Linked DNA regions of Mytilus edulis. The protein of the gene in region 2 interacts with the protein of the main gene of each other region in a pairwise test. Links are inferred from orthologs where the notes say so. Each region holds a gene or a part of one and is shown on either strand. Other genes may lie near its edges.

What was found. The genes of interacting proteins can lie anywhere in the genome.
Region 1: the proteins of DNA primase large subunit-like (region 2) and rho GTPase-activating protein 8-like interact in a two-hybrid assay, tested with the Drosophila melanogaster proteins (2 studies listed by BioGRID). The link is inferred for Mytilus edulis from reciprocal best matches to the Drosophila melanogaster genes Prim2 and RhoGAP68F.

Annotation. Positions count from the first base shown.
Region 1 is NC_092353.1:640,361-647,253, reverse strand, and holds the start of rho GTPase-activating protein 8-like, read left to right. Parts: upstream 1-3,893; 5' UTR 3,894-4,117; coding exon 4,118-4,199; intron 4,200-6,893. Other genes in the region: dual specificity protein kinase TTK-like, read right to left, coding at 488-597, 1,163-1,236, 1,756-1,907, 2,259-2,338, 3,775-3,797. UniProt on the Drosophila melanogaster protein: Functions as a GTPase-activating protein (GAP) for RhoA/Rho1 during gastrulation by converting it to an inactive GDP-bound state.
Region 2 is NC_092344.1:119,331,473-119,338,993, reverse strand, and holds the start of DNA primase large subunit-like, read left to right. Parts: upstream 1-4,508; 5' UTR 4,509-4,572; coding exon 4,573-4,729; intron 4,730-7,521. Other genes in the region: probable lysosomal cobalamin transporter, read right to left, coding at 244-311, 818-918, 1,413-1,476, 1,765-1,941, 4,344-4,403. UniProt on the Drosophila melanogaster protein: Regulatory subunit of the DNA primase complex and component of the DNA polymerase alpha complex (also known as the alpha DNA polymerase-primase complex) which play an essential role in the initiation of DNA synthesis.

The DNA of each region.
Region 1 (6,893 bases), on a different chromosome or scaffold from region 2:
TGGAATATATACCTTCAATTTTATATACAGAACAAGTGATGTTTTTGTTTACTAATTATGACTTTAATATGCACATAATACAGTAACTCTTTATGATGCTTAACATTTTTGCAGTTTACATGTTTAAGCTAGCACATTTTTGTTATTTAGGTAACAGTCAAAATTGCATAAAACAGTAAAACAAATCTACTTTTAAAGAACAAATAATCCAAAACAGATTGACAAAAATATTCCAGGAGATAGATCTTATCATGCTCATCATTTATGCAGTGTTAACTTTTAACCTAGCTACTGTAGTTTTCAAAATAACAGGGAAAATTGTGAAATATGTATATTTCAGGGGAAATAACTCCAAAACTTGTATATTTTTCTCCCTAATTGGACAATGGACACACAATGATTGCAAAGGCTCTCACACCCCTATGAGCCAGTCAAGTTTAAATGCATATTTTATAATATTCTTTAAACAAAAAATACAAATGTTTACCTTCTTTGACCTCTAGCTCTGCTGAAGCAATATGAACTATGGCATATCTTTTGACTATGTTTCTTGCTTCTGTTAGCAGCTGAATGGCATCTTCCAATAGCAACTGTTCACTGTAAATTATGAATAAATCAATTATCAAACTATGCTTTTGTTTCTGGAAATAAATTTTCTTGACTAAACAAAATACTATGGCAGTTAACATTCACTTTATTTAGTTATACCACAGTAAGAAATTGCTGTTTTAAAAACTGTCAAACAAAACAGCCATTGTTATTTTCCATAATTTCATCATTGAGGAATACCATTTCCCACATAAATTTGAATTCTAAGGAAAATTAGAGTCAAGGATAAAGGAAAAGACAACACCTCACAAACAAAATATCAGAGAATAAAAAATAAAAGCTTTAAGTTAATTTTGTACTATAAGTACATGTTGTGACTATAGTTTTGATATGCCAAAGATCCCTACAAGAAATGGAGGAATTAACGTTGATCATGATATTAAGGACAAAACAAATTGGTTCAGAGCTGCATTTGCAATTTTGGGAAGTAAATATTGGTGCTCATGTTTGTAACAAATATTCATTAACCAATCTCACGAAAGTACTGTATGGCATCGTTGTGCTATCTCCACAATCTTACAAAATTATTACAATAATCTATCTGTTATATTACCTTTTGACCTCAGCAAAGTCTATAAATAGATGAGCAAATGCTTCATTGTCTTTATTTGCCTTTCCATCAATAGCCTGTAAATAAAGACAGAGAGATATTAATAATGATGGTGTGATTTTTAAGACATAAATGTAGTGTGATCTCTGAAATATATATCAATAAAGATAGTGTGATCTCTGAGATATAAATAAGTATGGTCTGACATCTGAGTGATATACCGTAGTATGATCTCTGAGATTTAAAGATTGTGTGCTCTCAGATCTAAATAAATATTGTGTGACTTCTGAGAGATATAGCGTGATCTCTGAGATTTAAAGATTGTGTGATCTCTAAGATATAAATAAATATGGTGTGACATCTGAGTGATATAGTGTGATCTCTGAATTTAAAGATAGTGTGCTCTCAGATCTAAATAAAGATCGTGTAACATATTAGACATTAAATAAAAATAGTATGATCTCAAATATACATAGCTACAAGTATAGTGTGTTTCTAAGTTTTTATGGAGCACTTACCCTGAAATTTTCTCATACAGATCAGAGAGAAAGTTGTGAGCCTGGAACCTATCATTAAAGTTTGTATGGGACTCTTACCCTGAAAGCTTTCTCATACAGATCAGAGAGAAAGTTATGAGCCTGGAACCTATCATTAAAGTTCAGATTGTGTCTCATGTAAGTTGTATATTCTAACCAATCTTCAGCACGGTTCCCACAGTCAGTTATCTTTCTCATCCATGTTTTATAATCTGAAAAATTCTTGGAAGTTAAGTAAAGAAAAGGAATGGTAAGAGCTATAGTTGTAAATGTTTTCACTCTTTTCCAATAAAGTGTTTTTATTTATTGTTTTTATTTAGCATGTTTAGAAATGAAAAAATGAAGTAGTATTTAGGAACATCATAATTTTTAAAGATTTTCAATGCTTTGCCATTTTTTAACTAAAAGGACAGTTCTACATCTAAAGCCATTAAGAGTGGACATTCATATCTTTTCTTATTTATGAAATGGCTAGGTAAAGCTATAAATCTGTCATGACATGCTGATAAAGCGACAGATAATATCATGTTAAAACAAAGCCAGATTAGCTAACCAATACTAACCTGTCACCTCACTGGTATCCTCCTTCTTCAGTTTGTGTAGCTTACTCTTCAAAGAGCTCATGGATGTCATGGTTCCAGATCTGTAAAATAAAAAAAGGAATTAAGTACAATGAAGTACATGTTTGTGAGTAAACTGTAAATCTGTTGGAAATGGCTTGGTAAACTCTGCCATATTCTGTAAGTGATTGACCCAAGTAAGAACTTATATATTTCAAAGGTAAATATTGTCCAGACAATACAGCATAGGTAAATATCATCCAGACAATATGTCATAACATTAATATGTCTGTGGCCACAACGTACTGTGAAAAAGTTTCTGTCATAAGTTCATGGCAGAAAATATTAAATCTTACATATTCAGTTCCAAATCTGATTGAAGTTTTGTGGTGTCCTTGGTCAGTTTTGATTTATATACCTCAATCTACGGTCATGAAATAAGCCATGTCTTCTGCTGACCCATAAACATGGAATGTCCTAATGAAATTTCACATTGCATTAAAGTACATAGAGTTGTATCATACTTATAAAAAATAAAAACTGATGTAGGTGAGTGCAACTTAATAGTTGTACATACCAGAAACAATACTTGTTAGATTTTTTTCACGGTATATTATACAATTTTACTAACCTGCTAACTGTATGATAAGTTCTATTCATACGAAAACTAACAGTTTTTTTTTAAAACAATTTTTTATAATTACTCATTTACTGCGAGACGAGTATTGCCAAAATTTTGTGTGTACGTTGACGATATAATTACGACTGCCATACTTGGGTAGGATTGCTACGGAATCATCCGACAACAAATGTAGGCATGTTATACAGTGATTACACCATTGTAAAGATAAATCAATTTAGATTTATGATATAATAAGTTTTAGTGGGGTTGACAGCCTCTAAAGCGGCATATAACGGAAATTCGTCACCACCTTACATTTTTCTAAAATGCAAGTTAAGTACCTTGTGTTATATTAAGGTATGTAGGAAATTTTTTTCTGAGACAAGTGCCTGTGAATTGACCAGTAGCCGTATTGACTTTGCCAAGCTCTTCAGAGCTTATGTTTGTAATTGCTTGCTTATACCGACTCTAAATAAAGCTTTATGTCTTATGTCAATAGATGAACACAGGCACTTGTTTCTATCAATGGGAAGATCGACTATGCATATATATCATGTATATATATATATAAGAAAAAGTTAAGTAAAGTCCGTATGCTGGTAACATATAAGAAAATTATTAAAAGATAATAACGGTAAAGTGATGCATTGAAACCGTTATTATCTTTTAATAATTTTCTTATATATATATATATATATATATATAAGCTTCTATATATGGATAGTCTACCTTCCCATGGATAGAAACAAGTGACTGTGGCCAAAATTATAGGTGTCGAATAATTTTACCAGGTGCCGATTTGACTTGTAGTAGTACTAGATATATATACTTATAAACCATACTAAAAATTCAGTAACCTTCTTTTACAATTAAACTTATTCCTTTTGTTTTATATACTCAAGGTTTTCATATCCATTCATAATTCCCTGACATTTTTTAAAGTGCTTCTTAGTTGTTTTGATTTGACAAAGAATTTTGTAAAAAGCTCATTGATTGGACAAACCAACCCAGAAAGGGAGACAACAAAAACAGGAAACGAAGCTTACCGGATGTTGTTTTCTGTCATCACCAAAATTTGACATTCATACTTTTATTCCCCTGTATTAAAGAACATAAGACTGTCATAAACGATAAACGTACATCCTTAAAGAAAACATAGATAAATGGTTTTGTAAATTTAAGTCTGCCGATAGGAAAATGTCGGTCAATTGAAAGAGAGTGTGTTATCCAAGGGAAAATCATGAGTTCAACAAATGAGCAAGGCCTTCAAAATAAAACAGATACTCCAAGTGGAGAGGAACTCTCTTCAGAGCTGTTAGCAGGTAAAAGATTTTAATATTCAAACTGAATGTTGCATGTCATAGAAGAGTTTTGTTATTTCTAATATGATAAAAAAAAATAAAAGAAAGTGAAAAACCCAACAAAAATTCAGAATATCATATAAAAAAGAAGATGTGGTATCATTGCCAATGATGCAACTCTCTACAAGAGACCAAAATGACACAGAAATTAACGACTATTGGTCACCTTACGGCCTTCAACAATGAGGAAAGCCCATACTGCCGTCAGCTATAACAGGCCCTGAAATGACAATGTAAGTGAGAGTACATGTACTCGCAGTTAACTGACAGCTAACTTGTGAATAGATTTAAATCGGTATCCGGTTGTTCCGGCCCCAAACCGATCCGGCCCCAAGTCAATCCGGCCCAAAGTCGATCCGACCCAAGTCGATCCGGCCCACGTCGATCCGGGGCCCAAGTCGATCCAGCCCAATAATGAAATATGAATAAACTATATATTCACTATATGGAGGAATTTGTCACAAATTTGAACAGTATAAACGGAATTTGCAAAAAGTGTCGATGATGGACGACAACAGATAAGTGAAGTATTGGAGTACCAGTTAAAGAACAATTTTAAATCAATACGAAACTGAGTGTTATTGTGTCTGTGTATAGCAGTATAAGAATTTAAATGTTTTAAAATGTGAAGATACTTTCCATGTTGACTTTGAATGTCATGGCGATTTTTTTTTATTTACTTCTCACACAGAGTAGCTAAATAAATATTTACAGTCCAATGGAACCGTTCAAATTTAACTCATCATAATATCTTGTTTAAGCAAATCATTAGTCTATAATTGGTTTGTTAATTCAACAATTGTCTGATGATTGTGAACTAAGGTGATGCCACTGGTAATCACTTAATTCAATCAAAGCCTGATTAATTAAAGCATAGATGTAATACCCATTACATCTATGATTAAAGGTACGTAATCAACAAGGTCTTTAAAGTTTGATCTTTTTGTTTGGTATAAATAATAAGTATTAATTGTACATTTTTTTTTCAGGTACATCATAGGCTTCTATAACACTTGTTTTTTTGTAATATCGAATATACACGGCTGGTAATCTACACATGCAGAACATTTGGTTCTGCAATGAAAACCGTGAGAGGATTTTCCGGTTGTGCTTGAGTGGAGTAATTGTCACCGCTTCAAAAGGTATGTACATTTCTAAATCACAATTTTCTTATTCAACTGATCAAAATATTGAAAATCGGAGAATGCTATGCTGTGGTGAATACATTAATTGAAGAGATACATGTATAATTTACTGGTGTACATGGAGTTGAACTCCTACAAAATCAGTTGTCCCACGAGAAATTGCCTAAAAAAGTGACATTTGAATTTTGAAATGGTTCTATTAACAGATCTACAAGTTCAAATTCACTTGTTTTTCGGTCTATGGATATGGATGTCGTTTTTGGCGGCGTGTACGCTTTTCGGTGTTGATAGACGTCTTCATAAATCTAAAAACCTTATATTTTCATCATTTCATGCGTGAGGGAATCGGTTCTGATTGAGGACATCGTGAATGCGTGAGGGGACGTGAAATCATATCTGTATATCCAAGCTATGAGTCTTTGAAAGTTGGCTAAATTTGGTTTAATTGATGATGTAAAAACACATGTTTGTGCATAAACAAAATTATGAAATAGAATTTTGAAATAAATTGAGGGAAGATAGGTTTTATGCTATGTTTTACGAAGAATCAGTAAAATAAAAATTGTGTCAACGTTTTTGTTTCTTGCTACAAATAAATTTTTAAGTTAAAACCATCTCAGTTTTTATTTTTTACGAAAAAAGTTATCTCCCCTTAAATTGCTTATTTGACAAAAAAATTGATTGTTAAAACTCAAGTTTTGATATTTGTTTAAATATTGTACAATTACTGTCTTTGGATGAGGTAAATAGTTTTATTGACTTATGAAAAACTGATTTTCACTGAAGCCAACGGCCGAAGTGAATATCAGTTTTTTTCAAAAATCAATTAAACCACATATTTACAAAAGACAGTAATTCTTTTATTCCATATTCCGACAAAAATGTATGTAATTATTTATCAAAACAAATTTTACATAAAACAAGTTTATAAGAATTATGCACGTAAAAGTACGTGACATTTGCGCGGTGAATATACCATTTCCGCAAGTGAATATGCTTATTTATTCATAAAGAAAAACCAACTAAAATTGAATTGATATGAAACAATTTGATTTATACACAAAATCACCAAGTTGTCTGTATAAAATAAACAGTCTAACCAATAAATTCAGTTGCAAATAAGTCTCCAAACTAGACTGATTATTTGCTTAAATCCGCAAATTTTGAGACATATTTGGAACTTATTGGTTAGATTGTTTGTTCATGTAACAAAAGCTTGGTGATTTATTGATATTTCAAAATTCTATCACACAATTTCATGCACACACATGTGTTTTTTTCATGAACAATTTAACAAAATTTAGCCAACTTTCAACGACTCATAGCTTGGATATACAGATATGATTTCACGTCCCCTCACGCATTCAGGATGTCCTCAATCAGAACCGATCCCCTCACGCATGAAATGATGAAAATATGAGGATTTTAGATTTATGAAGAAGTCTATCAACACCGGACAGCGTACACGCCGCCAAAAACGCCATTCATACCCATTGACCGAAAAACAAGT
Region 2 (7,521 bases):
ATATGCCTTGAAATCATAAAACTTTTGAGTCAGTTTTTTAACTCGTACTCCAAATTCAACCAATCAAAATGCTGGATTCATGTTTCGAGCAAGATTTTTGTGCTCCGAGCACTGAGCAAAGTTTTATGACTTTCTGTTATGGTATGTAACTCTGTTTACTACAGACAATCCACTTATCAAATGAGGAGTTATTGTACTAAACTGAAAAAGCTGATATCTTTAAATCAACCTCATAATTCTTACCCAATCAACATCAGGACACCAGCTATAATCAGAAACACCACTGTGTACTTGGATGCTGTGCAGAATTTCTGTAAAAGCAAACATAATTTCAAATTTAAAAAGTGAATGATCAATCAATGATTGCATGGGATAATAATTTTTTCAACTCATGCTTCCACTCAAATAAATCAAGTTGAAAATTTTGTCAACCCTGATATTTATGAGATGAGTACCGGTATTAGGTCTCTTATATATAACAAATATCATAAATAATAATTTACTAAGCAATTTATTTTTAGATTCACAAATAAGTCTTACGTTTATTAATGCATTTAAGATTGATTGATTGATTACTGTGTTGTTAATGTATCAAGATAAATCCCTGTTAACTACAAAATGTATCAAGATAAATCCCTGTTAACTACAAAATGTATCAAGATAAATCCCTGTTAACTACAAAATGTATCAAGATAAATCCCTGTTAACTACAAAATGTATCAAGATAAATCCCTGTTAACTACAAAATGTATGCATCAATTCAATATCAATATTTGTGTATTACACATGGTTATAACAGAAATAAGATAAAACTTACAGATCTACAGGAGGTGGGATTCGACTCATCTTTTTCTTCATAAAAGAAGTACATAAATGGTAACAGCAAGAACAGACAGAATGTAACCAGTGCATACAGTGCTAAAATAAAATTTGTTTTTCGTTCATTTTATTATATAAATAAGGCCATTAGTTTTCTTGTTTGAATTGTTTTACATTGCCATTTCGGGGCCTTTTATAGCTGACTATGCAGTATGGGCTTTGCTAATTGTTGAAGGCCGTACGGTGACCTATAGTTGTTAATTTCTGTGTCATTTTGGTCTCTTGTGGACAGTTGTCTCATTGGCAATCATACCACATCTTCTTTTTTATATGAATGTTCACTTATAGCATGAAACTTTAATAACACTGCAACTTGGAAAACTGAACAGAAAGTCATGACAAATTATCTTGGAAAATTCAACAAAAAGTCAGAGAAATTAGGCTGACTTTAAAGTTTTAGATTGCAAGGTCACAGTACAATCAATTTAGGGCATGAATTAATTAGATTGCACACATAATGATATTGAAAATAAAAAAACTGTAAGATAAGATAAGATAAGTAAAAAATATGTCTTTCAAGATTAACTACTTACTGTAGTATCCTATGGCTACTGTATTCTCTACTGAGTCTCTGGTATCTGATGAATTTGCCCATTCCTAAAATGTTTTATTCTTTATCAGTAGTGTCTAAACAGAATAATTCAAAGTTCTTCCAAATAACCGTAATGAGTCATAGACATCCGACATGCCATTTTTATTTGGGACACAAAAACGCTGAAGCATTACCTAAAGTGGTAGGTTTTTTTTAGATCTTTAAATAAATCTCCATACATCTTTTAAGAAACTTGTGCGAGAGTCAAAATATCTAGTGGCATTCTTGCATGTATTACATAAAACAAGAACAACTGCAAACAAACAGATTGTTTATCATGCTGTTAGTCTTACCTTGAAAGTGCCATCACTGTTCTTCATAAATGAGGCTAGAAACACATCTATTGGTACCAAACATACTGTTAACAGGGCAATGGTAAGGGAGATAATCCCAGATATAGTTGTTGATAATGATGGATCATACTTGCTCATAAAATACTTAATATATACTACTGAAAACAGCAAGGCAAGCTAAAACATAAAAAAAAACTTGGCACAATTTGATATGAAACTCAAAGAAATAAACTGTAATTTGTAAAGCAAGGTCATCTCATTTTTCTTAGAATTTTTAATTTTTAATTTGTGCTTCCAAGAGTATCTGAATAATTTCTTGTATCATATCTTTCAAAGGAAAATTCAACAATTACACACGCCCTTATGACATCATTTACAAGATAGAAGGTGCATCTGTATCCATGCACCATCAAAGTTTGAAGCATTATTTGAATGGTCATTCTGCAGAGTAGTCTAGAAATAATGTCCGTATGTACGACTGAAGGGAGGGTGACCAACTAGAATTAAAATTTGATTTCCCATGCATATATGTAGGTCATGTGGTTATGAAGGTTACATGACACATACAATTAACTGCTGTATCTCAGATCAGGTGTATCAATTTATTGATCAGCCTCAGGTGGTCACATAGATTGTCATAGTAGAAATAGATGAAAAAGGGGTCTTTTTCTCGAGGCCTTTTGGAACAGACATAGAGAGTTATCCAATTTTTTTACACCAATAAATAAACAAAAGAGTGAATACATTGTACAAGTGAGATAACAACGAATCCATGACAACTCGCCCCACTTTTAAAAAAATAGCCACACTCTTTTTTGACGACAACTCCCATTGAAAATAGGTCCTGACAACTCACCCCACTTACGAAAAGTTTGTAAGTTTAAACTTTATAATATTAATTATGATAAAAGCCAAAACTGTATATATAACTTATAAAGTTACATTCATAAAAATTTTCTACAAACCATCTACATTGAGTGCTGTACATAGTCTGAAACAAAGCCAAAAATAATTCTAAACAAAATTACACTTATACTCTTATATCATTAGAGGTGTTCCTTTCTATAGAAACTTATACAAAGAAGCAGAAGAAAAGGGTTAAAATCCTGCTGAACATGCTGAATAAAGGTCTGCCAACAAAAACCACAATGAACTTCATCATGCCAATAGACCATTTTTAGAGTTCATCTGTCACCGGAAAAAATCATCAACTAAGCGTGCCTTTATGACTTCATTAACCAGATAAAGGGGATCGCCTGTACTATTAACCTTCATCAAGCGTCTTAGTGATTGTCATTGTGCATGGTATAAACTAGAAATAATGTTTGTTTTGTAAGTACTTAATCACTATTCCCTATTGACAGCAGTGCTGATTGTTAATTATGAGAATTTAATTTGCCGAATAATTTGTGCAATATATAGTATAATAGTTTTCCAACCACCCGCTCAACATTGGAACAGAAGTGACCATCCCCCTAAATGCACGAATGATGTTCACTAAAACATGTTCACTAAAACCAGAGTTTTTGATGGAAATGCATTGAACTCGAAAGTTGTCTATTGCTGCTATTTACAAGTGGGGCGAGTCTTTTGCTTCCGATAAAAACACATACGAGATGACAAAATTACATTACTCATCATTAGTCAGGTTGGGAACAAACCCCCTGTATGGTGATTATACCTCTATAGAAGGATCTATAAAGGGGTATTTTTGTTTGCACTGGATTTAAAGCAAATTAGGGCAGAATGGCATTTTCTAGTTATATTGGCTATAATCTCTAGCATTATATATATGCATCAACATATGCACTTTACTTAAAATTGGGATAACCAGTTTTCTGCTAAAGTGACAAAACTTGCAATCTATTGTAAACCTATCTGAACACCTGATCAACAACAAAAGGAATAGTTGACCTTTGAATTTCATGTTATATCTAACAATAGAAATTCTGTTCAGTGAGGCATAAGTGAGTAGAATTTACCTGATCATCACAGCTTTCAATCATGGTGAACAATAGCTTTTATATTTAGTCAGATAAGCATCAAACTGGGCATGTATTTTTGTTTTTGTTTTGGCCCTTTTGTTTTTGTAAATATATATATAGGCCACGCTGCGCGCGCAAACAGTAAATAATCTTCAGATCATTGAAGGACTACTGAAAACCTAAAGAAGAAGAAGAAGATGTGCATATTAAATTAAGTACATCAATTGGTGCATCAACTATTCCAGGTTACTGCCATAATAAGTAGAGAATGCCATTCTGCCCTATTTTGATTTTAGTCTAAACAAAAATACCCCTCTATAGAGGGATAAATTTACCCCTCTATAGAAGGATTATCCCTCTATACAGGTATAATCACCATATAGAGGGTTTGATCCCATATGAAAAACAAATCAATGTGTTTATGTTTTTGACAATTTCTATAGTTAATAAATTTATTTATGTTTTGCTGTAGGGACATGATGAATACAGACTGAATCACAGTAGTCAGTACCAGTGAATACAGGGGCCATTCAACTGAATTAAAGTTTTACTGTGAAAATCTGATCAGGATAAAAGATGACATGACATACTTACAATAATTATCACTACAAATGGAACCCAAGTAGCAGCAAGTGCTCCACTCAAGCTGACCATTTTGTTTTTGTTTTCGTTAAACGTCAAAGTAAAGCTTTATCTAGAGTTATCATTGTTTGTAAGCGTACAGATGCAGTTGAACGTAAAAAAGTTTTTAATCGACAAAGTCCGAAAGTTCCGAAAACATTTGTTTTGAGCGGGAAAGGCAAACAACAAAAAAGTCAACAAAATGGATTTCGCAGGCAACAGCAAAAAATCTGGACGATCCGCAAGAAATAAGAAACAGTTCAACCGCGTTGGTCATAATTTACAGTTCTACAAAATACCACCAACGGGGGAAATATCCCTGCAAGAGTTTGAAGAATATGCAATTGACAGATTAAAAGGTGCCCTAAAATTAGCCAAATTTACAATTAAGATAATCAATGAAAATCTAAGCAATTCTCCCTAATGACTCACAAATAACGTTATTGAAAAAAAAAATCCTGAAAAAATGATATAGCAATAACTTCTGACTAATTTTTATCTGGATACACCGATTTCCTGAGAAGTTCATGATTCGAGAACTCCCCAACAATACACCTTATCGCTATTTGTCCGCCATTACTGAAAATCACACAGGTTCCCTTAAAATTTTGACGTCATAATATAAAATATCTGACGCCACAATGGAAAAGTGCTTGTTGTATGCGTCAAAAGTTCAAGCGGCCTGGTCAGCCGGGATTAGTGATAAGGTGTATAGTCAATACGACAATACATCTCATAGGCGGATCCTGGGGGCCTGGCCCCCCCTTTTGTGGGAAAAATTTGGTTGATTATATAGGGAATCATTGAAGCATGACTGGAGCCCCCCCCCCCCTTAGGAAAAGTTCTGGATCAGCCACAGCATGTTATCGCTATTTGTTTGCCATTACTGGACATCACACAGGTTCCCGTTAAATGTTGATGTCATTATACAAAATATCTGACACCACAATTGAAAAGTGATTGGTGTGTGACGTCAATCATTTGTCCATAGTTCAAGCGGAACAGATTCTTGGGTCACCTGGGAAAAGCAATAAGGCATATAGGCCCCTTCACGGTTAGTATAGCCATGTAGAGAAGGGGTCAGATCATTTGAAAGAGGTGGAAATTGTATAATAATACAGGAAACCCTATGCACATGATGCATGTTTCTAAGAAACTGCTCTGTTTTATTGATGTTTTCCCAAATTTTTCAGACCTTTTAAACCTGCATTATGAAAATCTGCCTATATTCAATATGGCCAAACTAACTGTAAAGGGGCCTATTGAATATTGACCTGAGAGCCGATATATTATCTGAAATCTTTATAGGTTTTAAAGTAGATACATGTACTTATGAGATATTAGTCATTATTTACTTTATAATGGTACCATTTCACCTCAGGAATTTAATTTCTGCGTCTTTACACAGAGTTCACGAAAACTTTTTTTTGACCTGTCGGTCATGGGACTGACAAAGCAAGATTATTTGTCAGTCCTATAAAATTTTAGCCAGTCCTTAAAAATCTGACAATTTTATCCTGAAATAAAAATAATATCCTCATTTTGACCGATAGGACCATTTTCGTGAACTCTCATGCTTTACACAGATATGGATAACAATATGGTAGACGTAGTAAATATTCAAAACGCATATCGTCTAAGATTGCAAAGTTGTGACACTTAGGGATTTCCACTTTATTGGTAATATCATGCTAAGGCCATGGAAAATTAATTGTTGGTTTCCCCTAACATGGAAAAATTTTAAAGACCCGGTAGGCAGGCTCTTTTTTTTTTTTTGTAACCATGCTTAATTTTATATCTATATGTTTTGTTTCTACAGCAGAACTTTAATCTTGTATATTTCAAACACTTTGTGTTATCTCTGGGTTTTTTTTCCAGAAAAATTAAATGACCCGGTCGGGTTAGGGGAAACCATGAATTATTTTTCCATGGCCTAAAGCATTTATCATGGGCAACTTCAAAAAAACTTAATCAGATATTTTTTATTGCAATTTTACTCATATCATCATGCATGAAAAAATGGAAGTTGTGAATGTTCTTGCATATTATTTCTTTTAACTGTTTGCACTATTACTGTTTTATTCCTCTCTAATCATTTCGTTGAGCTCGGGGAAATCATAGCAATGTTATTGACAGACTGACTATATTTCTGAAGCTATTCATCAATTAAGTGTATAAGATTGTTTGCAAATAATTAAAAATTATTACATTCACAGTGAATAATATTTTCTCCAAGGTTTTGTTGGGTCTTTTTTCTTTTGTTCAATCGTCCTGAACATGCATGAAATATTTGACACTGGATGGTAAACAACCAACAATCAAATCAATTGTTTGTTCAAGGTTGGATTTTTTTCTATTGGTTTGCATATATAAGTGTAACAAACGTCCAATCATTCATTGTCATTGAGGATATAACTTCATCTATTTACAGATTTGAAGTTTGATTGAATCACCTCCACTTAAATGCTATTCTTCAATAAACACACTTAATATCAACTGCCCATTGATCCATACAAAAATCTTTGAAGTTTAAATTGAAAAATGTGTAAATTAAAACCAAAAAGTTCTTCTCAAAATAATATATTTAAATAATTGAATTGAAAATATTCTTATTTTTGGGCAATTATAGTTCATGATAGTTACCTTTATTCATTTTAGTGTTATATAATTTTGAGCAGAAACCAAAGAAAAATTATGAGGCTTTAACATTTTGTATACCTACAAATGTATGTTTGAACATAGAAAGAAAGACCTTCAAATACAGCCATTTAGGATTAAGATTATTACTGCAAGTCTCCTATTGTACCAAGGTTGTCATCACTTGAACATCAAGGATAAAAAAAAAGGGTGAATCTGTATTGGGAACTACAAGAATTTTATTTTATTTTATAATACTTTTATATATATATTTTTTCGTTCACCGTCTGGTTCACACCTGATTTGAAATTGTGCACACTACCCTAAGCACCCTTTCAATAGTTTCATTTTTGATTTTGATCACTTAAATGTCCAAGGTTCTTCAGAAAGGGGCACACTTTTCTCTCAGATATTCATAAGCTGAAAGGGGAGATTTTTTAGTTTGAACTGAAATATCTGATATGCTTCAGTTTGTTGGGTATGTTTTGTCATAATGTTTAATAGAGTTAAATTT